Rhinolophus ferrumequinum: one gene and its partners. The protein of the gene in region 1 purifies or fractionates together with the protein of each later gene. This does not show direct contact. Links are inferred from orthologs where the notes say so. Each region holds a gene or a part of one and is shown in the gene's direction. Other genes may lie near its edges.

Region 1 (7,151 bases):
AATATCCTTGTTTTTTCCAGCTTATGGCTTATTGATTATTTTTGGAAAATATGTGATGCTTTCTTAAGGAAAAGAAATCCTCTAATACCTTTAACTCCATGTATCTGTGTATTTCATAAGTCTTAGAGAATCAAGTGTTGATCATGCAGGAAGTCTTGTGGCATGCTCTGATTTGGAATGATTGAAGTGTTTAGTGACTTAATGGGGAAAAGGAAACATTTTAAAAATTGGCTTATATCAGTCTCCTTACTCCGTAATTCTCAGTTTTCTTGTGTTAGGGAATAAATATCAATAAAATCTCATCTTACCAGATTGCATCAGCATTGTCGTAAACACTGGAATTTTCCTTTATTTTTGGCTTTTAAAATCAGGAAATTTTCTTGGGTTGCCATACCTCTGTTTTTAGTTTTATTTGCCTCTGACTTGCCACACTGGTATGATCTCTTTTACTGCAGTAAAATCACTACTATGGTCACTTTCAGTGAAGATGTTTGGAAGGTTAAGATCCGGAGGAAACGTGACCAAAAAAAGGGAGGAAAAAAAAAAAAAACACCTTCATTTGGCCAAATCTGGCTCCTAATACATTTAACTAGTTCCAGAATTAGAAAACCTTTCTGTACATTTTCTTCTATTTTTCTCTCTTTTTTTCCTTACATAATGAAATTAAAACTTTTGGAGCCCACAGTTGACATTTTTTCAGAAAATTGAGTTATCAAGGCAGTAATTATTTCACGGGGAGATAAAACTCTCATAGCCCTAACTGTCAAATAGGGCCCTTTTCAGATTTTAATTACAAAATAAAATTAGTCTGCTCTTCCTCAGAATGGTTTGTGAGTGGTTAAACAGAGCTTTCCCCCCCAATACTGGTGGTCGTCGTCAAACTCTGCTAATTAGCAATGCTGAGAAATTCCAGTTAACAAGGACATTCTCCAAGACTCTGCAGGTTCCCTGCCGTTTGCCTTCATTTCCATAAGAAGATTAAGAGAGGAGGGGAACACACTCAAATGCAGATGCAGAAAAGAAGCGTTTTTTAACAAGCATCATAATAGTACGATGCTTGGCTAGTTCTCACCTAATTACTGCAAGTTAAACCTCTATTTGCCACTAAGAAGAAAAAATAAGTCTACAGTCCCCTATCCACAAAATTGTTAGTTGGCTTCAGATATAATACTTGAGGAGGGATGAGGGGAGTTTAGGAGAGACATATCAGTGCAAAAGATTTTTAAGTAAAATTGAACTACACTTAATCAGTTAAGGATTCTTGGCAGAGGCCTATAGTAGAACAAAATCAAATCCGAATATCTCAGGAATTATGCATTTTTGTTCTTAATTTCTAATCTTGCTCTAAAAGTATGCAGCTTTTTGCTGCCCATGGAAGGGAAATGTTACACTCTCTTTATATTAAGCACTTCAATTTTCATAAATTGTACCAATGGCAACATTTAAAATTTTTGAAGGATGAAGCACCCTCTTTCAAGTCTTATTTTGATTCCTTAGTAGTCAATGGTGTATTGTTATTAGTACTGTAGCCGTCTGTTATAAATCTAAAACAGTACTGCTTCTATCATACATCGTGATTGTTATAGTTATTATTATATTTAGGGGCCAGTGATGGTGCTGAACTGAAATAGAGTGGCCAGTGATCTGATTTTTTTAAATGCATATGTTCTAAAAAAAGTCTAATGAGAAAATTGTTTCTGCTATCACCATCTTCTTTAATCTTATTTTCATAGCACATTATTATGCATAAATGCCATCCAGTTAGTTTATTGCCTTGATAAGTACAGCAGGCTTAATTAAAATAAAGCTGTAAATAAATGCAACCAATGATAACACAATTGTAATGTATTTCCATAGCTTATTTATATGATAAAAGCAATTAACAAAAGACCTAGCCAGCCCCTTTAACCTCTTAAATGAATTATTATAGAGTCAGGCACAAACACAGACATCTGACGATGTATAAAAGCTTTTATATATCATCTTAAGGAAAATTTTGTGCCTCTTACTACTACCCCTTGAGAGAGAGGGAGAGAGAAAGGTTAAAAACATTTGCTGTATAACCATCCACTATTAACATTTATTTTAATACATATACACCGCCATTACCCATACCAACCCCTTGGGTTTTTTTCTTCAAACTTAATTATCCATAAGCTTTTTCTTTTCTTTTTTTTTTTTTGGAATAATGCTATTATACTAAGCGCAGATCAATGCATACACAATCATAAAGTGAATGCTTGGTCTGCCCTTCGTGGAATCTGGACAATCATAATTCATTCATATGTTGAATCTCACAATTTGTACCTATTTTTTCCCCATGATTTAACCTCCCACTTCTCTCGAGGTTATATATGTACATTTCTAAGTTAAGCAAATTAAATCTGAGTCTTATGATTCGGTTCCATAGCTTATATGATATGTTAACTTCTCTTTTGTTTAGATTACGTGTATTTAGTTTGATCTTCCTCCCACCCCACCCCCCATTTTTTTATTTCCAAACACCTTCTTTTAAAGGTAAAATCCATAGTCTTGGGAAAGCGAATTCACCAGTAGGGGGCGCACCAGCCACATCCCTGAAACCAAGACGCTCAGAAAAGGCCGTGGCCGCCTTTTCTCCAGATCAACTCAACCTTTTCTCTTTCCTAATCTTCATGTGCGTGATTAGCTTAATATTACACTTTCAATTAAAAAAAAGACATTGCTTTATTTTGAAGAGTGACTACATTTATGCGTTTTGAGAAGGCCAGTCTCGTCCTTCCTGGGTTCCCAAGAACTGAAACAAACCATAACTTAAGAGAAAAAGGAGAACCTGCGGGTGTGTGTGTGTAAGGGGGGTGGGCCGTGATTAGAAATAATAAATTATTAAGAAAAGTCTACAGGATTCTTTTTCACAACTTTTCTGGGTTTCCAGTGAGCATACTTAATCTTGAGTTTGACAAGAACAGAAAAACTTGGGAGGGCAGGGATTGAAGAAGTTGGAGTGGGGGTGATGACGGTTATGGGAAGAAGGTTAGTAAAGAACAAAACAATGCAAAGTTTTGTAAAGATAATAAATGGAACATGGCCGACAGATACTATTCAGTACATTTTCTTAGGGTGACTAAGGGTGGATCAGAGGAGAAGGGGGCGGAGAGTGTTACAGAAGAAAGAAAATAAGTAACCCTGATGGTTTAAGCCCTTTATAAAAAAAGAAATGGCATCAGGGTTCCCCCCCTTTGTAGTCAAGTGCATTTTAGCCACAAAGATCCCAACAAGAGAGTGGAAGGAAACTTAGACGGGGCTTTGTTTGACTCCGTGTAGCGACAACAAGAGAAACAAAACTACCTATTTGTAACGGACGTGCTGCCATTGCTCTCCGCATTGAGCGCCTACCTATTGAAATCTTTACGTCCGGACAATGGGAGAGCGGCTAAAATTACCCTCTTGGGTCCAGGGCAGGCAGGATTTCTGAGTCCCTACCCCGCCCCCATCCCATCCTCCTTCAGCCCTGGCCCTACTGGGATCCCCTCTTCCCCAGTCCTGGCCTCCATCTTCCTGCCGGCAATGCCTGCACCTGTGCCTGGCGAGCACTACCCTTCCCTCCTCCCAGGCCTACAGCCCCCTCCGAGCGCACACTCCAGACCCGGGCGGCCCGGGAAATGCGGCCATCACGGTAGAAGTCACTAGGGGGAAATGCCAGGGCTGGTTCTGCTCGAGTCCTGTGAACTCTGCGTGGGAGGGAGTTTGTGAGTGCGGCCCAAATGCCACCTCCACACAGTGCCCTGGGATGCCAAGAAGTTGAGCTTAACGCTCCCCCACCGCCTGCACTCTGAGCGTCCTTCTGTTGAGCTCTTTTCTTGCCCCCAGCCTCCTTCTGAAACCGGCACAACTAAAATCCTTTGGGGGAGGCTCAGCAGGAGAATGGAGAGGGAGGACGTGCATCCCCTTTGCACCGACTGAATGGGGAAAGACTGGTGGGAGAGGGTGAGGGAACAAGCTGTGGTTTCCTGCGCCAGAGCTGAGTTGGAGGGAAGAGCGAGGTTGCGGCAGCTCACCCAGGGCCTGCCTAGCCTCGCTCTAGAGTCGGCCGCATAGTCCGCGCAGGATTTACTTTTAAAACAGAACAAATTGCGTGAAAGCAAGAAAGGTTTGGGGGATTGAGCGTTCCGTCTCCTAACTTCTTGTCGGGACAGTGCGAGAAGTGCGTGAGCGAGTGTCGGCACCTGTGGAGAAAGAGGAGCAAGGGGAAGAGAGAGGCGAGGGAAAAGCACGAGAGAGGCTGGAGTTGGTGGGGGAAGTGTGCAGAGGAGCGGGAGAACAATGACACACCGACTCCATCCAACACTGCCTGTTTCCTGAAATACCAGTAGGACAGTCGCCCTGAACCACCCACTCTCTCCTGCCCCACCCCCACACCTTAGCGGCTTTTCGCGCCCCTTCCTCATTTCAAGAGCCCGCACCAAAAAGTAAATCAATATTAAGTTTTAAGAAAGAAGAAAATCGCAGTCTTAGTGCTGTTTACCCACTTCCTTCGAAAAGGCGTGTGGTGTGACCTGTTGCTGCGAGAGGGGATACAAAGGTTTCTCAGTGGCTGGCAGTGGGAGCCGCCTCCCCCTCCCTCCATCCCCCTCCTCCCCCTGCCTCCCCCGCGCGGCCCGCGGACCAGCAGGCCCCGCCCCCTTTCATGCAAAACCCGGCTGCGAGGCTGGGCTCGAGTGGAGGAGCCGACGCGCGCTGATTGGTCGCTGGAAACCCATTTATTCCCTGACAGCCCCCGTCACATGGATGGTTGTCTATTAACTTGTTCAAAAAAGTATCAGGAGTTGTCAAGGCAGAGAAGAGAGTGTTTGCAAAGGGGGAAAGTAGTTTGCTGCCTCTTTAAGACTAGGACTGAGAGAAAGAAGAGGAGAGAGAAAGAAAGCGAGAGAAGTTTGAGCCCCAGGCTTAAGCCTTTCCAAAAAATAATAATAACAATCATCGGCGGCGGCAGGATCGGCCAGAAGAGGAGGGAAGCGCTTTTTTTGATCCTGATTCCAGTTTCCCTCTCTCTCTCTCTCTTTTCTTCCCCCAAATTATTCTTCGTCTGATTTTCCTCGCGGAGCCCTGCGCTCGCGACACCCCCGCCCGCCTCCCCTCCTCCTCTCCCCCCGCCCGCGGGCCCCCAAAGTCGCGGCCGGGCCGAGGGTCGGCGGTCGCCGGCGGGCCGGGCCCGCGTACAGCGCCCGCATGTACAACATGATGGAGACGGAGCTGAAGCCGCCGGGCCCGCAGCAAACTTCGGGGGGCGGCGGCGGCGGCGGCGGCAACTCCACAGCGGCAGCGGCGGGCGGTAACCAGAAGAACAGCCCGGACCGCGTCAAGCGGCCCATGAACGCCTTCATGGTGTGGTCCCGCGGGCAGCGGCGTAAGATGGCCCAAGAGAACCCCAAGATGCACAACTCGGAGATCAGCAAGCGTCTGGGCGCGGAGTGGAAACTTTTGTCGGAGACGGAGAAGCGGCCGTTCATTGACGAGGCCAAGCGGCTGCGAGCGCTGCACATGAAGGAGCACCCGGATTATAAATACCGGCCCCGGCGGAAAACCAAGACGCTCATGAAGAAGGATAAGTACACGCTGCCTGGCGGGCTGCTGGCCCCGGGCGGCAACAGCATGGCTAGCGGGGTCGGGGTGGGCGCCGGCCTCGGCGCGGGCGTGAACCAGCGCATGGACAGCTACGCGCACATGAACGGCTGGAGCAACGGCAGCTACAGCATGATGCAGGACCAGCTGGGCTACCCGCAGCACCCGGGCCTCAACGCGCACGGCGCCGCGCAGATGCAGCCCATGCACCGCTACGACGTGAGCGCCCTGCAGTATAACTCCATGACAAGCTCGCAGACCTACATGAACGGCTCGCCCACCTACAGCATGTCCTATTCGCAGCAGGGCACCCCTGGCATGGCGCTAGGCTCCATGGGCTCGGTGGTCAAGTCCGAGGCCAGCTCCAGCCCCCCTGTGGTTACCTCTTCCTCCCACTCCAGGGCGCCCTGCCAGGCCGGGGACCTCCGGGACATGATCAGCATGTATCTCCCCGGCGCCGAGGTGCCAGAGCCGGCCGCCCCCAGCAGACTTCACATGTCCCAGCATTACCAGAGCGGCCCGGTGCCCGGCACGGCCATTAACGGCACACTGCCCCTCTCGCACATGTGAGGGCCGGACAGTGAACTGGGGGTGGGGGGTGGGGGGATTTTCAAAGAAAAACGAGGGAAATGGGAGGAGAGTAAGAAACAGCAAGGAGAAAAACCCGGTACGCTCAAAACAAAAAAGTCGTCACCCACAGCAAATGACATCTGCAAAAAAGAACACCAATCCCATCTACACTCACGCAAAGCTGCGATGCCGACAAGAAAACTTTTATGAGAGATCCTGGACTTCTTTTGGGGGGACTATTTTTGTACAGAGAAAACGGGGTGGGGGTGGGGGTAGGGAGGGCGAGGGAATGGACCTTGTATAGATCTGGAGGAAAGAAAACTACACAAAACTTTTTAAAAGTTCTAGTGATACGGTAGGAGCTTTGCAGAAAGTTTGCAAAAGTCTTTACCAATAATATTTAGAGCTAGTCTCCAAGCGACGAAAAAATGTTTTAATATTTGCAAGCAACTTTTGTACAGTATTTATCGAGATAAACATGGCAATCAAAATGTCCATTGTTTATAAGCTGAGAATTTGCCAATATTTTTCAAGGAGAGGCTTCTTGCTGAATTTTGATTCTGCAGCTGAAATTTAGGACAGTTGCAAACGTGGAAAGAAGAAAATTATTAAGATTTTGGACATTTTAATTGTTTAAAAATTGTACAAAAGGAAACAAACTAGAACAAGTACTGGCAAAACCATCTCCGTGGTCTTCTTTAAAGGAGCAAAAGTTTTAGATTGTACTAAATTTTTTTTTTTAACTTACTGTTTAAAAGCAAAAATGGCCATGCAGGTTGACATCATTGGTAATTTATAATAGCTTTTGTTTCCCAACTTTCCATTGTGTTCAGATAAAAATACAACATGAAATTACTGTGTTTGAAATATTTTCTTATGGTTTGTAATATTTCTGTAAATTTATTGTGATATTTTAAGGTTCTCCCCCCACCCCTTTATTTTCCGTAGTTGTATTTTAAAGATTCGGCTCTGAATTATTT
Region 2 (8,038 bases), on another chromosome or scaffold:
AAGATGGGGGAAAGGAGGCATACAAAGAGTAGGTTTTTCATTGTTTGTAAAATATAAACACAGATGAATTCTGTCTTTGGTTTGTTCATGCTTTTCACTCTGCACAGCAGGGATGTTCTTAAGAACTTGCCCTCTGCGAAATTTCACTAAATGGGAACCGTGGACCCTGCATGATGGGATTATAATCACACCGGCCACTCCTTTTACATAATTTTTTGTTTAAGATCCAGTAAGACTCCCTGTTTTTAATATATATAAAGCAATAGACATGCCTAGGTCGATAAACTGAGGGTTTGCGTCCCTAGTGCCTAGTGCCAGCTAAGACAAAAAACGGTGATATCACATCTACAAATCTCAATGGATTCAAAAACAATATGAAAATTTTGAGCTGACAAGAACATGTCTGCTGCCTGCAGTCCCTGCAACTAGCTCACCATGTTGCCTACTAACCGAAAGATCAAAAATTATCGATTTCATGGCGCTTCGTGCTCTGGAAAGAAAAGCTACTTTAAAATTTGCATTGTTTAAGAAATGAGTTAAAAGAAAAGAATCATTTTTTTTTCCTGAACACTTTGGAATGTGAAAAATGGCTTGTTCTAATCTTATTCATGAATTACTATAATTCTATTATTTTTAGCAGCTGGAGTCCAGAAATGATTTTTTCGATGAATTTAGGATTTTGCCGCAGTATCCATCTGCAGTCCCAGAATCCTCGGGTAAGTTAATCCTTCTTTCGATGGGAAACGCCTTTAACCTTCTTGTGAATGAAATATCTGCAACCATTTTGAAATTTTTAATAGAGGTGTGTGTGTGTGTGTGTGTGTGTTGTATGTTGGGGGGGTTATATCTCCAAAGCATAATTTCTACGCAATACAGCCGTACTTATCTTAGTTCTTAGAAACACTGACAAAACATACACCTTTGTGCTCTTTGATTATAGTGGATGATGTGTCCATTGCTTCTCCTTCACTTTCTGTGGTAGCCATTAAAATGTACTCCCTTAGTCTGGCAAGGACTGTTGTGTCAAACCAATGAAGGCCTGGAGAACACATAACCCCCAGCATGAAGAGTGTTCCTGGCATAACTGAAGCGGCCAGGAATATCACCACCACTGCTGCTGCCACCGCCACCACCAAGGCCATCGCCTCCCACCAACTTCACCGCCCCTCCCTTGGTCTGCAGTGCACACCAGATGCAAGCTTTCCACAGTAGCTCTCTGCCGAATTTGCCCAGTAGGTTCCTAGATTACTCCTGTGTGCGAGAATAGCCAACCATGTAGTCTGACAAGAAGTATTTACAACTACTTAGCCTGTTCAGCTGGAAAGAAATCAAGAGATAACAGTGAACCCTGAGATGATGTATTGCAAATCAAAAAGTTCCAATCCATAAATAGCCCACTCGGTGAACTGCTAAATGAAAAGCTGATCTTGACTACTGTCCAGTGTTTTCAGGTTGTCAAAAGAAATATTTTTAACAGGCATTCTTAGAGAGTTAGGATTTATTGTTCATAAATGCATGGAGTATTACTTAGTCTTACCTTTCTGCTGGGAGAGGATTCTTCCCAGAGAGATTCGGATATAGAGTCCAGAGGCCACACCCTCCTTTCACTGTTTTCTACTGTTTCTGTTGACTCTCAAGTAAGGTTGATTAACAATTACAATTTTATATTACTTTAAGGGACCTAATCAAAAGGAGCCAGTCATCCATCTCCCTCTAAAGGGAGCTTATTGTCTTAGTGCTCAATAAATGTTTAATGAATAGATTTGATAGAGTTAACTGTGCAGAAAGTGAACGGGTCTTCTTTAAAGTGCTGCCCGGATTAATGTTTCTGTCGGAAGTGCAAAAACAATCTGGGCATTTATTTCTTTGCCTAAAGGTGATTCAAAAGATGGGTGTTAGTGAAGGAGGATGCTTTGTATTCAGAGTCCATGTAGTCACTGCTTGATGTGCCAATGGTCTGATATTATGGCAAGTAATGCCTCCTCTTTTAAACCAGCTGAAGACACTTCTGGTTTCTAGGAATACAGCCTGAAATTTAGAACCATTTGTCTTTTGCAGTTTTACAAAATGAACTAACTTATGTCAAACCCAAGTGGTTGGCTCTAGGAGGAAAATGTGTACAAGGATAATCAAGTATTTTTCACAAAACGTATTGCCCAAGGTTAATTTTTAAGAATCGTTGTTTTACAAAATCACTTATTTCACCAACTCATCAGGTATTTTGTTGTATTTCTCATTGGTTTAATGATGGCATTTGTCTTCATTTCACAGAAGTTATTCATCTCATATTTTTGGTCAGACAATTGAAACAATTTGTTTTTTGAGATAAGTAAATACAAATTCTCAGTAATTTGTTAAATTCAACTAATTTTTTTTAATGCTAGTCACCCAGTAATTCTTCAGTACACTTAAATTTGATGGGAAAAACAGCTTGCTGCATTGTTGCAAATTTTATATTTCCTTTGATACTGTGTGTTTGCTTAAAGTATTACTAGGGACTTAAAAATCTTAATTCTAAATTTAGGTTAAGACATCTAAATTATAGAAAAGTCCTTCAATTACTTTGGCACCTGAATAGAGAAATATGAATATAGAGTTTTTATTCTGTAGGTGTTCTAATAGTGCAAATATTTCTTAAACAGTTTTAACAGTGTGCCTTATTTAGCAAAAAAACAAAAACCAAGAAACTGAACACAGAAAAAGGGAACATCTGTACAAAAAAAAAAAAAATCTTTCAATATTGATTAATCAGTCATCTGATTTTAAATGTATGGCTAATCAAATCAACTGTATATTCCCTAATTCTGTGTACGAGAATTAAAATTGGGGATTAGTACCTGGAAATGCTATTTACACTTTCGAAAACGTTTATATTAGAAACATTGCTTTGATGAAATACCTTTTTCTGCTCAATCTGTTTTAATTATGAGCAGCCCGGTTAACCACAACCATTTGCAACACTTCCACAGAATTACTAGCAAAGATACAAATGTAAAAGTCGTTCTAGACAATGGATCTCAACGAACATCATCTCAGTCAGTATGTGGATTTTATCCACTGCAGTGGCCCACATGTGCTATGGTGATAGCAGCTGACATTACCACTGTATATAGGAACATATCTTTAAGACATTATATATATATATATTTTATATATATATATTATATATATATATATTTTATATATATATATATATATATAATATATATATATATAAAGAACCTGTTGGGCCCTGAAGCATTAGCTATGCCTAAAACTACATGTCCCACTCCATGAGTGAATGAGGAAGTGGGTTTCCTGCCTGTACCTACTATAAAGACCTATTGTTTGCATGCATTAATTACAGGGATAAAAGCCTCAAGATAACTTTCACTGTTGCTTTTTGTACTCTCTCCATCGTTTTGGAGAAAAATAAGCATAAAACGACAGGCTAGAGAAAGTGAATCGATCATAATTGTTTCAGCTTTGACAAACGCCAATCTTGCTGGATTACAATGGAGACATTTCCAAGGGAAATCAAGACCAACTTCAGCCTATTAAAACGAATTAGAAAATGTTTTTGAAGGATAGAAAATTAGTTTTAAAAAATGAGAAGCTGCCTAATCGGTATAGCTCCTTCCATTCACAACATACTTGGACCTCTCAAATAAGTAATACCATAGAAATGCATCTTCTCCAACCTCCCCCACCCCGCAAAAAAAAAAAAAATTGTTGATACTTAGTAGCACGGTGGACCCACATAAAAGCGGAATCTATAAGAATTAACCTAATTGACAGGGCTGTACACTTAGCCCATTTCCATCCGTCATTTGTTCACAGTAGGTACTCATAACGACTTGTTGAATTACGGGGCCAGGCGCCCATTCTAACGAAGAGTTCCCAGCCTTCAGGAGTGGGGGTAGCAGGCGGCTCCGCCCGGTACTTCACTTCCAGATTCAGGCTGAGCCGACGGGTGGGATGCGGGACCCACGATCCGGACACTGGGGGGCTTGGGGGTGGTGTGCAGCTCCGCTGGGAGCCATGCCCTTCAGGGAGTGTGTGGCCCTCCCGCAACGGCGGCGGAAGCCCTAACCCGCCCGAGTCCCCCAACCGACCGCGGTGCGGAGGCGGCGCCCAGAAGCGCCAGTGGCCCCACGGGCCGCGACCTCAGCGCCCGCGCCTCCGCCACTGAGTCCCGAACTTCCGCCCTCCCAGGACTTGTGCGGGCTGCTCCGCGCGGCCCCCGAGCGCCGGGGCCGAGATGCCGCCACCCGCGGGCGGCAGAAAGCGTGCGGCAAGCCCCGCGTCGGGTCTCACGGCTCGGGGCACGCGCGGGGCGGGGGCGTCCGGTTCGGGACAGTGGAGGATCCCGGTGCCTCCTCCCTCCAGCCCACCCCGAACTACGGCGCCCCCGCGGGCCGCCCTCCGGTCCCGCACGGCGGGGCAGCGGTGAGGCTCCATCCCCGACCGCGTCCCGGGAGCGCGAGGGCGCCCCGCCCGGGCCCCGGGCGTTGGGACGGCGCCCGGCGGCTCCGCGGCGCGGGGACTACTTTCCGCGTCCTCCCGCGCCCCGCCCCTTGTCCTCGCGCGGCGGAACGCTCCGCGCTGCGCCGCTGGCGGCAGGATACAGCGGCTCCTGCGCGACTTATAAGAGGTCCTTGTGCGGCGCCATTTTAAGCCTCTCGGTCTGTGGCAGCCGCGTTATCCCGTCTCCGAGAGCGGAGAGCGAGGGGAGGCGGAGACGGAGGACGGTGCGAGGAGCAGCTCCAGTCCCCGCCGAGCCGCCACCGCAGGCCGAGGACGGTCGGACTCCCGCGGCGGGAGCAGCCTGTTCCCCTGAGGTGCTTGGGCGCTCCCTTCCTTACCCTTCCGGGCTGCTCCCGCTCCCTCTTCGGAGCCAAACTTCGTCGAGGGCGCGCGATCGCGGCGGCGGCTGAGAGCCGGGCTCGGCGCAGCCCCGGAGGCCCGGAGCGGGGAGCTGGGGGCGCCGGGGAGACGGCGGGGGCGGGCTGCACCCGGGGGCGGAGGGCGGCGGCCGGGCCCGGGTTTCGGTCACCCTGCTTCTCGGGGGTTTTGGGGGCGCCGCTGGCGGGGAGGGGGCGCCGCGAGGGCGCGTCCAAGAGCTGGGATGGCTGGCGTGGGGGGCGGCGGGACTCTGGTTTCCGTCAGGGGCTCCGGCCGCGGCCGAGTTTGGGGGAGGGACCCTGCGCCTCGGGATGCGCCGGGGCCGGGGTGGGGGGCGGGGTGGGGACGGGGGCTCCGCCTTCCCAGCGGGGAGTTGGGGTACGGGCGCCGGGCCTGGGACACCACCCTGGGTCCCCTCTGCCGTGGGGATAGGGCTAGTGGACTTTCTCTCCAGATTCCCTCCCTCGTCCTTAAGGAAAATTCTTAAGAGAATTGTTAGTATTTTTTTTTTCCACGCTCCGCCTGAGTTTGGCACTGGCGCTTGTTTCAATCGAAGCAACTTTAAACCTTAGAGGAACCAAACTAGCAGTGCAAACGGTGCGATGCGTCAGTAGGATTTGCACACAGGAGATCCGTGTCTTGCACCTATGTTTTCTTGTGCCGTGCAGGTGAGTGAAGCGTCGTGCGGTGCCCCGGGAGTTGCAATGGATGGCATCGGGCGTGAGACCCCAGTCAGAATGCGGGCTGGGGCGCCTGCCTTCCTGTTTCTGACCAGTTAAGGCGCGGGGTGCAGCCCCCGACTGCTTCGAGGATCTCGTTCGGAGGAATTATTTATTCCCCTAGTTTTATGGCAGCGAAACTTGATTTTTAGAGCACGTTTGCTTTTCAGCGGCGTGAATGTTTCCCTCGCTACGAAACGGGCCGAGGGAAATTCAGGCGTTGCAACTTCTTGCATTGTTTTGCCTGGGGAAGAGGACTCGAACGGAGACTTTGGAAGTTTCTCGCAGCCCTCTTCTGAATCCGCTAAACTGGAAGGCTTTGGCAGGTGGGGGTAGTTGTTCCCTTCGTTTTCTGTTCCCTTTTGGAGGGAGTATTGTCTCCTAGTTTGTATCTTTCAGACATCTGTGGCCTGCCCCCCACCCGCCCCCCGGTTGTGAGTGGTGAATGAAGAGAGACCGGCCTGCTGGTATGCAGAGGTCGGCAAAAGGAAATCGAGGAGTGGTTTTCGTGAAATGAGAGCTTTGTGTCATGAATAGTGGTGGCTTAGACTAGACATCAACTTGAAGAGACGGCTATCCTTTGATGAAGTCTAGGCTAATGTTTTTCGGATGGCTAAGTTACTAAGTATTTTGTCTGGAATTTAGGAAGCCGTTTCATTATTGCCTCTCGGTAAACATTCAACACCCTCATATGTCTTCGTGTTAACTAGTCCTCATTCTAGGAAATGTTAGACATAGCTTAAAATGTTATTTGCATAATGCTACTACGGTTTAGTATCTGCTTAAATTAGTGACATAAACGTATTTTGGAGATTTTTTTTGTTTTTTTTTTTTTGTCTGACCTAAGGTTGCTGCTGCATTTACTTTACTTTTACATTTAAAACCACAAAGTCTCTGGATTAAAAAAAGAGGAACAATAAAGTGCATTTGATAATATCCTTCCACAAAATTTGATTAATTTGCCCCCGATATTCATTACTTTGACCTAGTCTTTGTTCTGAAGGCCACGTCCAAGGGCAAGGCCCTAAAGTGATTGCAAAAGTAACTTGAAAAACTTGCAGAAGGCTATTCTATAGGATTAAAGGAATGTTGAGACTATTTAAGTCTGAGGTCCTTGAGGGGGAAATAAAAAACTGTACTAGAAAGTTTAGAGTAGCATGTAATTTAGAGTCCCAGGCCTGAGATTCTCCCAGAGGCCAGAATAGTCATTTTAAATAGCTTTCAGGAAAAACCAAGTTTTTAAAAATGTGGCTCATGAAAAAATGAGGCATTTAACAGTGTTCGCGTGTCAAGAAGCATTCAAGAGTGTTCTTTCTTTTGGACTAATTATCGGACTGCTTCCTTTACCAAGGTTATTAGGTAGAAAAATGTATATTCCAGTATTAAAACTTAAGAAACTATGAATTGAGCTTCCAACTGTTACCTAGTGATGACTGGAATAAAAATTGTTCATATAAATGAAGTCTGTTTTCATAAATAGTTCCCTCCTCCTCCTCAGCAAGTTTCTCTAAACGTATTTTGAGATGTGGTGCTTAAGAAAACTAGCTTCATACATCCTTTTCTTGGTTGTTGGGAGGAGTGGGAAGAGGAGTGTTAAGTCTTGCTGAAACTAGAGATGTGAACAATTCAAAAGTTTGACTATCACTCTAAGTTACAAGCAGCAGTGAAATGAAAACCCCATAAATGGGCTACATAGTATGTTCAGCCTACTGAAACTTTTGTTATTGAAACAGTACATCTGTCCATGATTTTGTTTCTCTCATGGTTTACTAATTGCTGATAATCATTGTAGATGAGTAGGTGGTAAATTTTAAGTTTGTACTTTGAGCTTGGTTGGAAGCCTGCTTGATTGCTAACCCACGGCAGAAAGGATGAATGCTTTTAGAGCAGGACAAATGTCTAATAAAAAGTGTTGGCAACCCTTTTGTAGGGCTACATGTTGACTTCTGACATTGTTTTTGAAAACATTAGTTGTATTAACTTGGTTGTTTCCTTGTAGCCCTCTTTTTATTGGTAATACAATATCTTTTGTTGAAATAGGTTGATTAAAAAACATTTTTATGCCATAAAAGTAAATATTAAACATAGACGAGGAGCTGCTGCTACTGCTTCTTCGTCCAGAGCAGGTAGCCTCTTGTTACCCCTCATTGAGAGGATAACTGATTTGCAGAGTCAGTTCTCATTCTTTAACAGACTATTGTTTGTGTAATAGTGTTGTAATTATGAATGTGATACATAACTAGGCTAATAGGCTAAAATGAATATATAGTTTTTAGCGTCTGTGAAAGAAAAATGTGTGATTAGTGTTGCTTGAAAATGAGTAGGTGTTAACTCGTATAGTTTTTCATCACTTAAACTCAGGAGAAAGTTCTTTATTTCCTCTGTTTACTTTAAGAATGCTTCTTTTGTGTTTCGTGCAAGACTGAGCTTGACTT
Region 3 (8,405 bases), on another chromosome or scaffold:
ATTATATCTATGGATGATGACCCTCTAACTAGATGCCCAGCTGGGTAGAGTCAGTATTAGCTCATTACCAAATCTGGAATCCCATGGCACACTGCACAGAGCTAGAAAATAACAGCTTCACGCTACAAAGAACACATTGGCATTCCAACTTTTCCAAAGATGTCACAGGGCTACCCCACCTTGCCCCCTGCATGCTAGCCTGCTCTGAAACACTAGAGGTATTGCAGGCAAGAAAGCAATCAACCACACACTTTAAGGATATAAAGCTTTGCTTGAATTGATGGTTTAGAGATAAATATAGTAGAAATGAAATAGAAATAAAAAGCGGTATTTCATTTGCTTTGCTCAGCTCTAGTTTCTGTCCCAATCAGGCAATGAGGTGGGCATGTTTCCTTGAAAAATCCAAGTCAATGGTGGGCTCTACATCCTGCTAAATGAAAGGCCACCGTACAGCCAATATGATGGTTATCAAGAGATTTTTTTTTTATGGTATCACACAATAGACATATGAAGACACGATCACAATACAATTTTAACTTTTAAAAACAAGTGTGATCCTTGAAATGAAAAACATGTTTATTAACATTTTAAAGTTTTTTAAATATCACATTTTTCACAGGCTTTACCAAAGTAAAATTATAAACACACTTTTCTACTTTTTCAAAGTAAATCATTCACTGCTTCAAGCATTAGATGATGTTAAATAAAATCCTTAGTCGATTCAGCAATTTCAAAATTTGCTTGTTTTACTTCCTCACCTTAAATGAGCTGCAAACATTTCATCATAAGGGGGTTCCAAAACTTGTTGACACTTCTCTTCTGGAGAAGCCAACTAAATTAAATATGAAGGAAAATGGCAAAAATAAAATTAACAATCATGGAAAGAATGCAATGTGTAGAAAGATATTTAAACAAACCTGTGTTTCAAAAGAAGTTACACTTTACAGTTAACAGTAACACTTTACACTTTAGCACTTCTAAACAAAAGGTTCATTACTTCAGCAAATATTCATCAAGCATGAACTAGGTATAGGGCACTAGATGAATACAATGTTTTATCTACCACAGGCTAGGAAATAGTGTAAGGCACTTTCATACATATCTTAAAGTTTAACAGCCAGTTAGTTAAGAAATATTTAGTAAGTAGCTACTATGTGCTTAATAAATAAGGCATATAATACCTTACATAAATAAGGTCTAATGAATTAAAGATGCCATGTTAGGAATCACTCCTCAGGTGCCTGGTGATAGAACCACCCTCTCTGTGCCCTGGGCTAGACTAGCTGACATTTATTTCTAACTCTGCCTTTCTTCTCAATGGCCAAATTTTAGATAATATGAGCATCCCAATGGGTTATATTTAGCACACTGAATTAAAAGAAAAAAAAGGGAATCAATGAGTCCACTCTGATACTGATATAATACACATATAAATGTGGGAGGGGAAAAATATCAAATTCAGAAAAATCATCATTCTACAGTCTCTAATGAAATAATTGATTCAGACAATGGCCACCAGTGAGTGGAACCATCAGATGGAAGGTTCACAGGGAATTTTATACTGAAGAACTCAGTCTTAAGAGTACAAATGGGCAAACAGATGTGCATGCCCCTGATGTAATCAATACGAAACACATAGCACCAACTATGGAGTGTCTGGCCAGCAAGCTGAACCTGAGTCTCATCAAGTCTCTGGAACTAATTTCTATTTGGAGCAATGGTTTTCAATATGTTCTGTATATTAGAACAACCTAGGAGACTTTAAATTTAAAAATAAATAAACACATAAATACATAAATGCCTGCTTCTACTCCCGAAACTGGTTTACACAGTTTGAGGTATAGCCTATACACTGCCAAATATAATCAGCAATGTAGAAGCTCAAACTCTAAACTTCTCTTAGGAAGCCAGATAGCCTGTAGCCCTTTGTGTGTGTACTCTTTTTACATACCTGAAGCCGTGGGTTGGCAACATGAGGATGCTTGAAAGATACCAGCTCCGCACAGGATGCCCCATCTCTGGTGTCGATTGCTTCATAGACCTGCAGCATTGGAGAAAAGAAAAGCTAAGTAGAAAATAAAACACTCTATTCTAATAGAACCTAAACAACACATTGTATAACACCAAAATTCATTTTCCCTACTTTGAAAGGGTCAGCATAATCAAAATATTATAGTCAATATTGTCTTTAGCCAGCAAACAATAACTATATTTCAAAATGAGATCGTCTGGAGGCAAATAAACAGGTGACTTACTGTGAAAAACAATGAGAGGGCAGAATAAGCCAGTTTATTATCTGGTTATTAATGAAGGTGATTTATTCTAGTTTTACTGGGTCACACAAGCAAACATTTGAAAATTCACTTACACAGCTTAAGGGAAAAGAAAGCGCTTATAAACCACATATTTCCAAAATTCAAAAGGCGGTTCTATTCAATCTAAATATAAAAGAAAAATTGGATGGCAATGGCTAAATAAATGGTGTCACAGTACGCTGTGAAAAAGAATCAAATAAATCTACATGTAATAACATAGGAATGTGTCCGCAATATGCTTTAAAAAAAGAAAGAAAACAGAAAAAAGAAAAAAAAGAGTCACAGGAGGGGCCAGCACGGTGACTCAAGCGGTTGGAGCTCCGTGCTCCTAATGCTGAAGGCTGCCAGTTTGATTCCCACATGGGCCAGTGGGCTCTCAACCACAAGGTTGCTGGTTCGACTCCCGCAAGGGATGGTGGGCTGCGCCCCCTGCAACTAGCAACGGCAAATGGACCTGGAGCTAAGCTGCGCCCTCCAAAACTAAGATTGAAAGGACAACAACTTGACTTGGAAAAAGTCCTGGAAGTACACACTGTTCCCCAATAAAGTTCTATTAAAAAAAAAAGAGTCACAGGAAAACTGCGTAACTTGATCTGGGAGAAAAAGACAAAGTATGTATGACACGCAAGCACAGAAAGAAGTGCAGGACCCCACGCCACACCAGCTGACCCCTTGGGGTGAGGGCTGAGAAGGCTTTTATCTTATATATTTCTATACTGGAAGACTGTATTATAGAAGACATTTGTATTAGAAAACCAAATGTTATTTTTAAATTATGTGTATCAAAGATGACATAAAAATTCCAACAATGTGAGGAGAAAGCCAAGCATAAAGTTTCATATATAGTGTAATTTATCTACAATAAAATTACATATATAAACTTTATATCCACGCAAGACTCTGACCAGGGACATCGTAAAGAAAATATCCAAATGGTACACAAACGAGAAGGTGCTCACATCTTACCCACAAGTGAAATGCAACATGATATCTCTACACATCTACCAGAAGAGTTAAAATTAAAAAGGTTGACCATACTAAGCACTCCAAGAATATAAAGTGACTGAAACTCTCATGCATTGCTAGGGAAGGGGTGAAGTGGCAGCCACTCTGAGACACTGGTGTACCTACTAGTGAGAGCATACACCTACTCCCCGATCCAGTAATCCTATGCCCAGGCACCTGCAGCCAGAAGAGATGGGGCATAAATCACCAGGACACCAAAAGGAACCAATTCCTCATCTGTTGTACCACTCAGGGAATCAGCTGGGAAAGTCTACACTACCCTATCTAATGAAGATTTTGCCACTTGACTATTCAACAAAACTATGTAAGCACTTACATTTTGAGCCAGCAATCCAGCTTTTAAGGATTCACTTTACAATATGGAATAAATTTGTGCAGGGTTACTTGTTGATGTATTCTGAGTAATCATAAAATATTGGTCCCATCAGTGCCCCTGCCTCAAGGAAGCTGATAAAGGATGCCAAAGTTCTCATCACTGGTGTGTGTGTGTGTGTGTGTGTGTGTGTGTGGCGGGGGGGGGGGGCAGAGATGGTGACCAACTATCTTAAAGAACTGGTTCTTAGTAACTATTCAACAAGCACTATCATTCTTCTTCTCATCATCACCCCAAATGGTTTCATCAAATAAGATAGACAATTGAAGGAGATTCTCATTGTGCTCCTCTGAGAATGCAGAGAACAAGACCAAGAGGTAGTTTGGTGAAATGGGAATATGAAAGAGTCAGACAGACCAGCACGAATACTATCTTTACTCCTCGCTAGAATGAGTAGGTCTGAACACTGGCAAATCACTCAGCTTTACCACCCAGCCTAGGGGCGAGCTTCACACCCTTCTATATGCCTCCACTTATCTAGTCGACAAATTACATTCAGCGTCCACATGAGTACGACACCATTCAAGCACCCTGAATGAAAAAAGGGAAAAAAAGAAATGGAACTAGGAGTGGGCAAGAAAACTGTAAAAGGTTAACAAAAACATAAAATTCTAGAGAGATTCTATAGTCATATTGGTTCTCCAATGTCTATGTCCTTGCTCAACTTAATGTTAACTCTGCAAAGATAAGGCCACAGTAGACCTATCCTAAGAGCTTTTATTTAAGGCTAGGTCTACTGTGGTAGCTATGAGTAGAGGCTAGCAGCCAGCATTACTTGCTATCTCCAACTCCTACTTCCACCAGTGTCTGTGCGAAACAAAACTCCAAGTCAGGCCCTTAGGTCAGGCTTTTGATGACTACACAAGGGCTGAACCCCTTACTTCTTCGAGTGGTTAACGGTCCCTTCAGCATCTGCTAGGACTAAGCTCCCCCCCACCACACACACATATATTCACGTCCCTAAACTGAGGGCAGCGACCACCGGCGTACTCCCGGGGTCCCTAAGAAACACAGTGGTGTGCCTGCCTCAGTCGTCCCGTCTGGCTAACAAGGACTCAGGCTACCTCGACCCCGGCCACGCACGCGCCGGCCGCCCAACTGGACCCCAAAGTCCAGCAGGCCAAGGGAAGGAGAAGACTCCGCAGACCGAGCGCGATTGGACCCAACGAACGTTACCTGCTGCAGATACTGGTTTATAGTGATGTGCGCCATGACGGTACCCACCCCCAGGACCGGGCGGAGCTTGAGCTCCGGGCCGGCCCGTCACTTCCGGTCCGTGGTCCGTTCTCGGCCCCGCGCCTCCAACCCCACTTTCCCCGAATTTCGGTTCCGCAGGGAGTATTTGCGGGAGCGTGATCTCCGACCCGGCATGGCAGCGCGCCCGGGCTGAGGAAGGCTGGGGTCTCTGTGCTGGGATTCCCCCGCCTCCCCTCGGCGAGGACGCCTCGTGCGCGCCCCTACAGTGCTCCGGGACACGCCGGGCCCCCGGGAGCTGTCAGGGCTTGCGCTCCGCCGTCCCCTCGACTGTTGCAAGTTTCACACGGACCGCGGCTGACGCGGACTGGCCGCGCTCGCGAGCTTCGGGGTCGTGGGCCGGGTCGGGCCCACGGTCGCGTTGGAGCTGGGGCCGGGGGAAGACCGGACGGCGGTTGGGCCAGGCCAAAGCGGCGTTTGGGCCAGGACTGAGCGGCGCTGACGGAGCCTGGAGTTGCTGAGGGGAAAGGAGAGCAGAGGCCCGGGTGCCCGGCCGCGCGGGTCGGGGAGGAGGCGGAGGAGGCGGCCGGACGGGGCGGGGCGCCCGCTGCTTCCCGGCCGCAGCCATGGCCGACGAGACCCCCAGGAAGGGCAACTTCTCGGCGCTCGTCGGGCACACCAACGGCCTCACCAAGCCCGCGTCCCTCGCCGCGGCCGCCGTCACCTCCAAGCCAGGGGGCAGCGGCGGCTCCAAGAAACTAGTGATCAAGAATTTCCGAGGTGGGTACAGGGAGCGGCCTAGGGACGGGAGACCTAGTGGGCCGAGGAGGAGAGGACAGCTACAGGGAGGAGCCTGGGGGCCGAGGATGGAGTTGGGGGGGCGGCCCGGGACAGAGCTGGGGGTCGGCCTGGGGAGAAGCAACGCGAGGGCTGGAGGTGCTGGGCGGAGCGGCCTCAAAGCACCAGTGGCGGTGGGGGTTGCGGGGGTTGTGGTCCGCTGGACCCTCGACTGTTCGGAAGTCTCCTTCCCAGTTGGCGGTCATTGGTCCCGGTTTTAGACTCTCAGAGTAGGGTGGGGGTCCCCGGGCTCCCCCGATGAGGGCGCGGGCCTTTCCGAATGTCGGCTTAAGCTGCGGTGAGGGCAGCGGGTTGAGTTTACTGGTAGCAGCTTTCTCCTTAATCTGTATAGTTGGTCCAATTGGAATAAAATAGGCCAAATAATTCAAGTATCTTGATTGGCATGGCAGAGCAAGAATAAGTAGCAGCTACTGACGCTCTTCGTGATGTAATTTTTATTACTTCCTCCACTTTTCATCAGTTGTATCACTGATGCTATCAAAATAAGAAGCACCTTTGATGTAGAGATAGCAATTATAAGCTTATTCTTCACCTTCCTCCCAACGTTGAACAATTTAACTCGACTTTAAATGTTGTATAGAACTTAAGTATTCCATGTATACGTTTGTAAAGTCAACTTATGTGAAAGGAAACTAAGATTTGTATATTTCCTGTGTGTTTTTATCCTAAGTATCAATATGAAGTGTATTTAGGCAAACAGATGTTACGGTTGCATAGTCTGTAACCTAACAAATTTATAAATACGATACTTTGTATTGAAAAAACCTAATTTGTGTTCCTTACTTGTGTCTTTTAAAGTACATTTTCATAGACTGTTTTTTGAAAGATTATGACTTAGCATAGATGTCATTCCTCACTGACTCTATCTGGATTTACAGACAGACCTAAATTGCCTGATAACTACACTCAGGACACCTGGCAGAAACTTCATGAGGCAGTGAAAGCCATACAAAGTAGTACTTCCATCAAATACAACCTGGAAGAACTCTACCAGGTAAGGCGCCATGTATGGGAAAAAGTAGAGCTTGTTAGAATCCTCATTGAGATATAAATCCTGAATTTTCTTAGACAAGGACATCTTCAGGACGTGATGAGGCCAGCATCCTGTGTCTCACTTACCTGGTTGTTTTTATAGTTGTCTAAATCACACGATTATCCAACTCTAGTGAAATGTGATACAGATGTGGATTATGTGGTCCTCAGTATTGTTTCAGAGTCAATAATGAAGGAAATACTAGAAATCCAAGTGTTTGCCTCCAACAAGGACAGGAGTCCTATGACAACATGTCCAGAGTCGATGAGTGTTCTCATTTTTTGGTGGTTTGGGGATTTTTGTTTTGTTTCAGGCTTAAGCTCCTAGAAAGATATCTAAAGTTATCCCATTACAGGAGAGAGGTGTGTTTCTAAGAGCCACATGACTTAATATTTTCCAAATACGCAGCAAATTAATGTTATAATTCCATTATGTTATATATAAAACTCTTATTATGGTTTCACTTGTTAATAGAGCTGTTTTTTCCCACTTAATTGTGTTTTCTGATTACTTGTTGCAATTAAAATGCAAAACAAATTTTGATATATTTAATTTAAAGTAATGATGTTCTATTTCTAACATAAAAAATGGTCAAAAGTACATTTTACTATTTGGATATTCCATTTACAAGCGGACTGGTTTTTCTGATACTTTGTTTTTAAAGAATAACATTTGTTAACTAATCTATTATTACCCACATTTTGGGTAGCAATATGATATCCTGTTAAGAAATATGAATTTAAAATTTTTTTCTGTTTACATAAGTGAGTACATTGTAAAAATTATGAAAACTACAAAAAGAGTACAAAGAAGAAAATAAAAACCATTTATTTTCCCACCATCCAAAGAAGACTACTGTTGACAGTTTGATGGATATATGTGCCCTCTTTGCCTTAAGTTTGTGTATTACATTTTTTCAACTTTATTAAGGTATAATTTTACATATACTATGTATTTCAATAAGTTTTAACAAATATATACAATTTTATGACCACCACCACAATCAAGATATAAACTATTAATATTTCCACCACTCCAAAAAGTTTCCTGAGGCATCTTTCCATTTAGTCTTCTCCACTGACTCCCAATTATTGGCAATCTGATTTGCTTTCTGTCGGTATATTTTGCCATTTCTAGGGTCTCATTTAAATGGATTTTGCAATCTTTTTATACTTGACATTTTTTGGGGGGGGGGAGAATATTGGGGAACAGTGTGTTTTTCCAGGGCCCATCAGCTCCAAGTCGTTGTTCTAGCCCATGTGGGAATCAAACCGGCAATTCTGTTGTGAAGAACTTGGGCGCTAACTAACTGAGCCATCTGGCTGCTTCTATACCTGACTTCTTTCACTTAGGGTAGTGCTTGTGAGATTCATGCATATACTATGTGACAGTAATTTGTTTTTTTGTTACTGAGTAGCATAGGTATCACAATTGGTTATCCTTTCACCGGTTTATGGTTATTTGGGATTCCAGTTTTTGGTTATTATGAATAAAACTGTTGTGAACAATAACGACTAGGTCTTTGTGTGGACATACGAATGGTCGGACAATAAGTTCAAACTTTCCACTGTGTAAGTGAAGTTAATTGTCCGACCTTTCGTATATT
Region 4 (8,351 bases), on another chromosome or scaffold:
ATTTAGAAACAGGGAGCAATATTTCTGCTGTTACCATGCGGTTTTCCAGATCAGCTCCTCTCGGGGTCCACATGCTAGAAGGCTGCCAGGTGGACCAGGACCAGAACAAAGGAAGGGAACTGGACCAAAAATTATTTCATATGGGTCATGGAGGGACCTTGTAAATCTCTGTCCTATGCAGGGTTTGCTTTGCTGGGGCCCTTGATCCATCTGGCTTCCTGATGCAGCATCTCATGTTCCTGAGAAGCTGCACCACTGTCCTTGCTGTGGGCTCCCATCCTGCCCTGGGCCCTGACCACCGCACCCTTCCCCGCCAAATAATAATAATCACAAGTGTTATTTATGCAGTATCTCCTCTGCAGGCATTATACTTGGTACTTTATATGCACTATCTCATTCAATCCTCATAAAAAACTCTGAGGTAGGAGCTTCTACCCTGTTTCCCCAAAAATAAGACCTAGCCGGACAGTTAGCTTTAATGTGTCTTTTGGAGCAAAAATTAATATAAGACCCAGTCTATATTACATTCTATAATATTAATTTTTGCTCCAAAAGACGTATTAGAGCTGATTGTCTGGCTAGGTCTTATTTTTGGGGAAACATAGTATTTGTTCTGTTTTTCAGATGAGAAAACTGAGGCTCAAAGAGGCCAAGGTCTCACAACCAATAGATGTTACAGGTGTGTGTTATTGAGGGTCTAAGCCAAAGCAGACACTCCAAGGGGCATGACTAACATCTAGCAGGCCTTATCATTGAGGAAGAGCAAGATCTTCCGGTTTGGTGCTCACACCGTGCCAGTTAAATATTCTGATCATCGCGCCACCTGTGGGCTTCCTATACCTGGAGACTTGATGTCCTTTCTCCCATCAACCTCTAGGGATGACCAATCCTGAGGTGATTCAGAACCTAGAACGAGGCTACCGCATGGTACGACCTGACAACTGTCCGGAGGAGCTGTACGACCTCATGATGCTGTGCTGGAAAGAGCGTCCAGAGGACCGGCCCACCTTTGATTACCTGCGCAGTGTGCTGGAGGACTTCTTCACAGCCACGGAGGGCCAGTACCAGCCCCAGCCCTAAGAGGCCTAGCTGGCTGGGACGTGGAGCCCTCCCCGCATCTAGCCAACCTGGCTGGGGAAGAAGCAGTTCTTGTGCCGTTCCCATGTGGCCTATGCACATATGGACCCTGCACGTGAATCCTATCTACATGTGACACATCCACTTGTGTCTTATACACAGGTTCTTGAGTTGTGTGGGCTCTGCACATGTGCCTTGTGTATGTGTGGCCTGTACATATATGTCTTGGACACCTGTCCAAGCTATCCCTCTCTGGGCCCTCCTACTTCCTGAGACCACTAAAGGAGAGAGGCCTGTGATTGACACCAGCTTCTGCCCACCCCTTTTGCCTTTCTCCTGGTCCTAAAGAATCTCTCTCCTGGAGGGGGAGACCTTTCTAATACCTCTGTGTGCTCCTCCTTGGTGCCTGTCACACATCAGGAGCTCAATAAATGTCTGTTTGTTGATAAAGGTTTTACATCTCTCTGCTCCCCACTCCTATCTCTTCTTCCTTGGGAGGGGAGAGTGGGGGTTCAGAAGATGATAACCCTGAATTGCGGTGAACCATGGGATGAGGGGATGTCTGAACTTTTTCCAGCTCTGCTGACGCTGGGGGCCAAAAGGAGGTCCCGACTCTTTGCTGTACGGGCTCTTTGAAACCCTTTAAATCCCCACCCCAAAGGCTTCAGGGCGACTCCTACCTAGAACCTCCTAGTATATATCCCAGGACCCTCTCCCTCCTATTACATAAGAGCAATAGCAATTTTTTGCGTGGGAGGGAAGGGGAACAGGACTTTATTGGGGAACAGTGTGTACTTCCAGGACTTTTTTTTTTTCCCAAGTCAAGTTGTTGTCCTTTCAATCTTAGCTGTGGAGGGTGCCGTTCAGCTTCAAGTTGTTGTCCTTTCAGTCTTCGTTGTGGAGGACGCAGCTCAGCTCCAGGTCCAGTTGCCGTTGCTAGTTGCAGGGGGCGCAGCCCACCATCCCTTAAGTGTCAAACTGGCAACCTTGTGGTTGAGAGGATGCGCTCTGACCAACTGAGCCCTCCGGGAGCTCAGCGGCAGCTCAGCTCAAGGTGCCGTGTTCAATCTTAGTTGCAGGGGGCGGAGCCCACCATCCCTTACGGGACTTGAGGAATTGAACTGGCAACCTTGTGGTTGAGAGCCCACTGGCCCATGCGGGAATTGAACAGGCAGCCTTCCGAGTTAGGAGCATGGAGCTCTAACCGCCTGAGCCACTGGGCCGGCCCTAGCATTTTTTTACATGCTAATGATTCAAGGGCTATATTTGGCTTCAGATGTGTTTTGATTCACTTTCAAGATGTTTTTAAACATCGAGTTAATTCACTCATTTAACAAATATTTATTCAACATCTACTGTATGCCAGGCACAGTTCTGGGCTCAGGATATACAGTAGATAAAACAGTTTCTGCCTTTGTGGAGCGTACATTCTAGCAAGGGAAGACAGACAATAAGCATCACAAAGATGTGAATGATACGGTATGCTACAAGGTAATGAGTGCTAAGAGGAAAATAGAGTTGGGTAAGGGGAATTAGGAATGTCATGTTTGGGGAGGTTAACATTTTTAAAGACAATGGTCTGAGAAGCCCTCATTGAGAAGGTGACTGAGCAAAGATTTGAAGGAAGTGAGTGAGTGAGCCTCCTGGTGTGGGGGAGGAGTGGTGGGGCAGAGGAAACAGCCTGAGGAAGAAGCTTCCCTGGCCAGCTCTAGAAGTAAAGGCTGCTTGAAGGAGGGCGATAGATCCTCTGGGGCTTTGTGGCCTTTGTAGGAGACATATTGAGGAGGCTTTACTAGGATTTGTGCAGAGCCATGACATGATCTGACTTACATTTTAAAGGATGGCTCTTACTGTTATGTTGATAATAGACTGAATTAGCAGTCAATTTATAAAACTAGATAGATTTTGCATAAATCTCCAGATTTCTGTATCTCTTGAAAAACCAGGAAGGTTTGGCTCCCTTGCACTTATCTGTCCTAGAGCTGAGTAGTGATCACCCCGTTTGGATGGGGTATGGGCTCTCCTTTTGCCAGAATACTCTCCACTCTCTCTTGCTCCCAGACAATGAAACTATTAGCAGCTATTTATCATCATGTTCATGTTCTTCTTCTTACAATATAGAGGAAAATGAAATTTTTTTGGCACCCACATTTCCATTAAAAAGTGAGAAAATTGAAGATACCTGAAGATGGCAGTGTGTTTGTGGAAAGATGGGGGAAAGTGAAAAGGAATTCAATTGAAGAGAGTGAAAAAGAATTCAATTAAAAAATATGCAAACAAAGCGCCTGAATCAAACTAATATAAACAATGTAAATATAATATATATCCAGTCATTTACATCACCTGCCTGATCTCTGTTGGCATTTGAGTGTGTGATGTCCTGCATTTTATAAAATGCTGCCACACCCACAACCTCCTTTGGAAACTGTGCAGCCATAGAGTCTGTCAACTTGTTTTCTTATCCTCTCCATTTTACAAAGAGGGAAATGGAGGCCCAGAAAGTTTCCTAGCTAGGAAGCAGCAACACAAAATTGGGAATAGAGTTTATTCCCTGGCCTTTTGTTATTTCTTTAATAGAACTGCCCAGTATTAGATCTCTTATTACCTTCATTATTAATGGCCCAATACAATTCCCAACTGAGGAACCCAATTGTCCAAGCACTCTTTAAATGTAAAGAAGCATATTGTATATTATTGACTATAGGACCATGAGTGAGTAACTTACTTGGCCCATAGTAAGCACTCACTAAATATTAGTGTTATTTTAATGGCCCATCACAGTGTTTTTCAGCCTTTCAGCTTTCAATACTGACCAGTTGATGACTGATCTAGTGCAGTGGTCTCAAGTGTAGGGTGAGGGGCAATTTATACTTCCTCTAACCCCTCCCCTCCTTGCCCTGGAGACTTGCAATGTCTGGAGACAATTTTGGTTGTCACATCTTGGGGTGAGGGTGCCAGTGGCATCTAACGAGTAGAGGCCAAGAATGCGGTTAAACATCCTATGGTGCACAGGACAGTCCCCTACAATAAATAATTATCCAGCCCAAAATGTTAATAGTTCCAATAGCTAGAGAAACCCTGCTCCAGGTTCAGGGGACCATCAGTTTTCTCCTAGCTAAAAGCACTCCTCAGTCCTCTTGGGCATCTGCATCAGGGAGGTAGGCTTGGAGAAAGAGACTAGGTTCTGCCACGTTGTTACAGTGTCCCTGATGTATAATAGGCATTCAAAATATATGTACAATTGAAAATTGAATTTAGAGGAAAAACTAATAAAAAACAAGAAAAAGAAAACAATTGAATTTAATTACTAATTGTGTGAGTCTGAGCAAGTCACAAAGGTCTCAACTTCAATATCTTTATCTATAAAATGGGGATAAAAAGGCCTCCTCCAAAACTGTTGTGAGGAATAATTGAGATAATCTGCACAGTACTTGGCCCACAGCACTTTTATTTCGTTTGTCAGTTTAATTCTCTTTCCTCCAAATCTGAGTTATAATCCACGTTCAGCCCTTTCACTAGCTGAGTGACCTTGTGCAAGTCACTTCCCCCCTGTAGACCTCAGTGGATTCTGTGTAAAATTGTACAAAGTTGGCCCCTTATCTCCAAGCACGCCTCCAACACCGAAATGGGACTGTGAAGTTTACAGACCTGCTTTCTTCCCCCGGGACTAATGGTACGGTCCCCGGGCAGCTCCCCCACCCCCCTGTCGCGGACCTTGGTACAGGCCCAGGGGGCCCTGGGCTGCCTCTCCGGGCTCCTCCGGGCTGCCCTTGCCCCCTGCCGAGTTCCGGGCCGTCCCTGCGTAAGCTGATTGGCTGGAGCGGTGCCCGGGCTGCGCGGCTATAGGTGAGCCCGGGAGGGGACGGGCGGGGCGGGCTGGAGGCCCGCCCCCTCCCCCCTGGGTCGGACGCTGAGCAGAGCTGCGGGCGGGAGGCCGGACGGACCGACGGACGGACGGGAGGGACGGGAGGCGAGCAAGATGGCGCAGACTCAGGGCACCAAGAGGAAAGTCTGTTACTACTACGACGGTGAGCACCGTCCTCGCAGCGGGGGCGGGGCCTGGCCGGGCCGGATCCGGGAGCGGGAGGCTGGGAGAGACAGGCGTTGGGGCAAGGCTGAGAGAGGAGGCTGAGAGGAAGACGAGGCTGAGAGAGGAGGCTGAAGGGAAAGGAGGTCCGGGCTGAGGGAGGAGGTTGGGAGGAAGGAGGCCGAGACTGAGGGAGGAGGCTCAGGATGGAAGTCTGGGCTGAGGAATGAGGTCGGGACAGAGGAAGGAGGTCGAGACTGAGGGAAGAGGCTCAGAGGAAAGGAGATCAAGGCTGAGGAAGGAAGCTGAGAGAAGGAGGTCGGACCTGAGGGAAGAGGCTCAGAGGAATGGAAAGGAGGTCGAGACTGAGGGAAGAGGCTGAGGTCTCCCGAGAGAGTCGCCTGAGGTGATCTTGGTGGGGAATTCGGAAGACGTCTGATGAGGAGACTTTGAGGGGACTCCTGGAGGGGAGGCTGAGGCCAAGGGCCGGAGGCAGAATCCGAGGGAGGGGTGCAAGGGTATGTGTTCCTGCTGAGTGTACAAAGGCTTTTCACTGCCCCTTTCCTTCCTCATCCTTTTTGGGGAGAGTCCTTCAGGAATCACCAACTAATCGGCACCACTGCCCCTCCCCCAGCCCCTGAGCAGGGCCTGCAGTTGCTGCTGGGCAAGGGGGTCCCTCGGGTTGGAAGCTAAAGGATGCGAGCTGTTAAAACAGACTTTTTCATGTCACCACACTCTCTGGAGACCTCATTCTGCACTAGGTAGCATTGAGCTGCTGGTGGCCATGGAGTTGATCGAGTCACTTCCCATCTTCAGCTCCGTCTGGAGAGGAAGATAGACAGTGACAGAGAACTGCTCTCTGTTATCTTGCTGGGATAAAGGAACTTTCAGAGTGTTACCGGGGCACAGGAGAAGAGGCACCCAGCCCAGTGTGAGGAGTCAGGGAAGGAGGTGCCATCTCAGTTGGGATCTGAAGAACAGGGGTTATTAGCCTGGCACAGGGCAGGCAAAGATGACAGCAGTTTAGAGGGGAGAGAGGGGACAGCTGCTTTGAAGAGCATCAGGGATGTGTCCATAGGGCCGAAGCGCAGATTTGAGGGCAGAGTGTAGAAGTGAGGGAACAGGGGTGAGGGAAAGGTTGCTGGTGATGAGGCTGGAGAAGGCATTAGGGACTAGGTCACGAAGGGCCGGGCGTACTGTCCTAAGGAAGTTGGACTTTATGCTGAGGGCACTTGTGAATCATAGACGCTTTATGCAGGTTAGTGACATCATCAGATTTCTACCTTAGAACTCTCGCTCTAGGACAGAAATTAAATTCATGAAGGTTGGGGTAAGGAAGAAGGCAAGGATCCCAAGTTTCTGGTTTGGGCAGTTTGATGCCGAGTGGAGGAGATCATGTCCGTTGATAACTTTTTTTTTCTTCAAGAAATACTTGTTGAGATGTCTGGGGGACATCCAACTAGATCGTGTTCAGTAGGCAGTTAGCCGTTCTGGTCTGCAGTTCAGAAGATAGAAATGAGGAGATTTTTGATAGACGTCAGCATACATAGTTGTCAGATGGGAATTTTAGTTACAAAAGAGGATGCCATCACCCAAGAAGTTATACAGGGTGAACGGAAGAGGATCCAGGGTGGAATTCTAAGGAAGTGGAAAAGTCTAATGTCCTTCGTGCTCTGTACTTCCCCGGCCATAGCACTTGTCACTGTGTATTGTAATTACCCATTTACTTTTTTATACTTACAGATGGTAAATGCCTTAGGGAAAGGAACAATGTCTAGTCTACCTCTATATGCTCTTCCCCCAGAACAGTGCTTAACTCATAGTTGGCTCTCAGTAAATGCTTGCTGATTAAATGAATAAAAAGATACAGAGGAATAGCCAGAGATGTAAGTGAACCAGAAAGTGTTGGGTTACAGTAGCCAAAAGAGGGAGGGACAAGTGTTGGCAAGAACTGTTTCCCGTGCTAGGTTTGGAACTGAAGCTAGATTGCTGTAGCGTGAGGAATGAATGGATGGGTGAAGAGGAGACATCAGGCTGGACCCTTTTTAATGAAACTTGTCCAGGGCAGAGAGAGGGTTGCTGATAAAGGAGAGATGTAATGGTTGAGAGTTGAGCATATTCAAATTCTTAGGGAAAATAGCCAGAGAGGAAAGGTTGGAGATACAGGAGAGGGGCTAGTCATGATGGAGGTTCCTAAAAAGACCAGGTGAGATGGACACCAGAGCACAGGTAGGGACACTAGCCTTCAAGAGGAAGTTCCTTCTTGGTGAGAAGGTAAGTGGCAAGAAAAAGTTCAAATGTAGGTAAGTTTGGTGGGGAGAGTCGAGGGAGTTTTCAAGATGAAGTTGGGGAATATTCCTTTTCCTGAGGGCAGTTGGTAGAGCAGGAATCTTGAAGAGAGTTAGCTGTTAAATAGCTGTTGTGAAAGAAGGTGCTAGGAAAATAAATTTGGAAGGATTGCTGGGCAGTAGTGAAGACACGTTTGAGGCTGGATCCTTTGACTTTGTAACCGTATCAGTTTGCACAGTTTTGTGACCTCTACATTCTCAGTTTAAAAAGAAGAAAAGAAGGGACCCAGTGTTCAGAGAAGGGAGACTTCTTACTTTTTTTTTTTTAATAATTTCTATATATATAATTTTATTGGGGAATATTGGGGAGCAGTGTGTTTCTCCAGGGCCCATCAGCTCCAAGTCATTGTCCTTCAATCTAGTGGTGGAGGGTGCAGCTCAGCTCCAAGTCCAGTTGTCGTTTCCAGTCTTTAGTTGCCCGGGGCGCAGCCCATCATCCATCCCATGGGGGAATTGAACCGGCAACCCTGCTGTTCAGAGTTTGCGCTCTAACCAGCTGAGCCATCTGGCCGCAGACTTCTTACTTTTAAGAAACAGTTTTGCAGTGAGGTCACTAACTTGGGACTCAAATTTGGCTCTGCCACTCAGAAGCTTTGCAGTACTGGGCAAGTCACTTCACCTTTCTAGGCCTCAGGTCACTTTTCTGTGAAACTGAAAAACTATGAGAACAGTGGGAAAAGCTCATCTAAAGTGTAAAAGTAGTATCTGAATTAAAAGGATTATTTCTTTTAAACTCTCTCAGCAACTCAATTCAAAACTGTTAAGAAGGTGTTTCTGGGCACCACCCTCAGGTACTCCCTTAGCCGTCTAGATAAGGTATCTTAGTTCCTCAAGTCTAAGCCTTGGCTGGATCCAGGCTTGATAGGCAAGGGAGTTGCTAGGGATCAAGGCCCCTGCCA

The links.
Region 2: the proteins of SOX2 (region 1) and CTNNB1 purify together in Homo sapiens (affinity purification with mass spectrometry; 3 studies listed by BioGRID and IntAct, with this or other methods). This does not show direct contact. The link is inferred for Rhinolophus ferrumequinum from reciprocal best matches to the Homo sapiens genes SOX2 and CTNNB1.
Region 3: the proteins of SOX2 (region 1) and CUL4A purify together in Homo sapiens (affinity purification with western blotting; 3 studies listed by BioGRID, with this or other methods). This does not show direct contact. The link is inferred for Rhinolophus ferrumequinum from reciprocal best matches to the Homo sapiens genes SOX2 and CUL4A.
Region 4: the proteins of SOX2 (region 1) and HDAC1 purify together in Homo sapiens (affinity purification with mass spectrometry, with the first as the bait; 3 studies listed by BioGRID). This does not show direct contact. The link is inferred for Rhinolophus ferrumequinum from reciprocal best matches to the Homo sapiens genes SOX2 and HDAC1.

The regions. Positions count from the first base shown.
Region 1 is NC_046285.1:62,840,672-62,847,822, reverse strand, and holds SOX2 (transcription factor SOX-2), read left to right. Parts: upstream 1-4,758; 5' UTR 4,759-5,208; coding exon 5,209-6,171; 3' UTR 6,172-6,280; downstream 6,281-7,151. UniProt on the Homo sapiens protein: Transcription factor that forms a trimeric complex with OCT4 on DNA and controls the expression of a number of genes involved in embryonic development such as YES1, FGF4, UTF1 and ZFP206. Binds to the proximal enhancer region of NANOG.
Region 2 is NC_046300.1:12,305,105-12,313,142, reverse strand, and holds the start of CTNNB1 (catenin beta-1), read left to right. Parts: upstream 1-4,660; 5' UTR 4,661-4,820; intron 4,821-8,038. UniProt on the Homo sapiens protein: Key downstream component of the canonical Wnt signaling pathway.
Region 3 is NC_046287.1:55,719,996-55,728,400, forward strand, and holds the start of CUL4A (cullin-4A), read left to right. Parts: upstream 1-5,055; 5' UTR 5,056-5,534; coding exon 5,535-5,688; intron 5,689-6,644; coding exon 6,645-6,760; intron 6,761-8,405. UniProt on the Homo sapiens protein: Core component of multiple cullin-RING-based E3 ubiquitin-protein ligase complexes which mediate the ubiquitination of target proteins. As a scaffold protein may contribute to catalysis through positioning of the substrate and the ubiquitin-conjugating enzyme.
Region 4 is NC_046292.1:22,157,984-22,166,334, forward strand, and holds the start of HDAC1 (histone deacetylase 1), read left to right. Parts: upstream 1-4,948; 5' UTR 4,949-5,056; coding exon 5,057-5,105; intron 5,106-8,351. Other genes in the region: tyrosine-protein kinase Lck, read left to right, coding at 878-1,080. UniProt on the Homo sapiens protein: Histone deacetylase that catalyzes the deacetylation of lysine residues on the N-terminal part of the core histones (H2A, H2B, H3 and H4).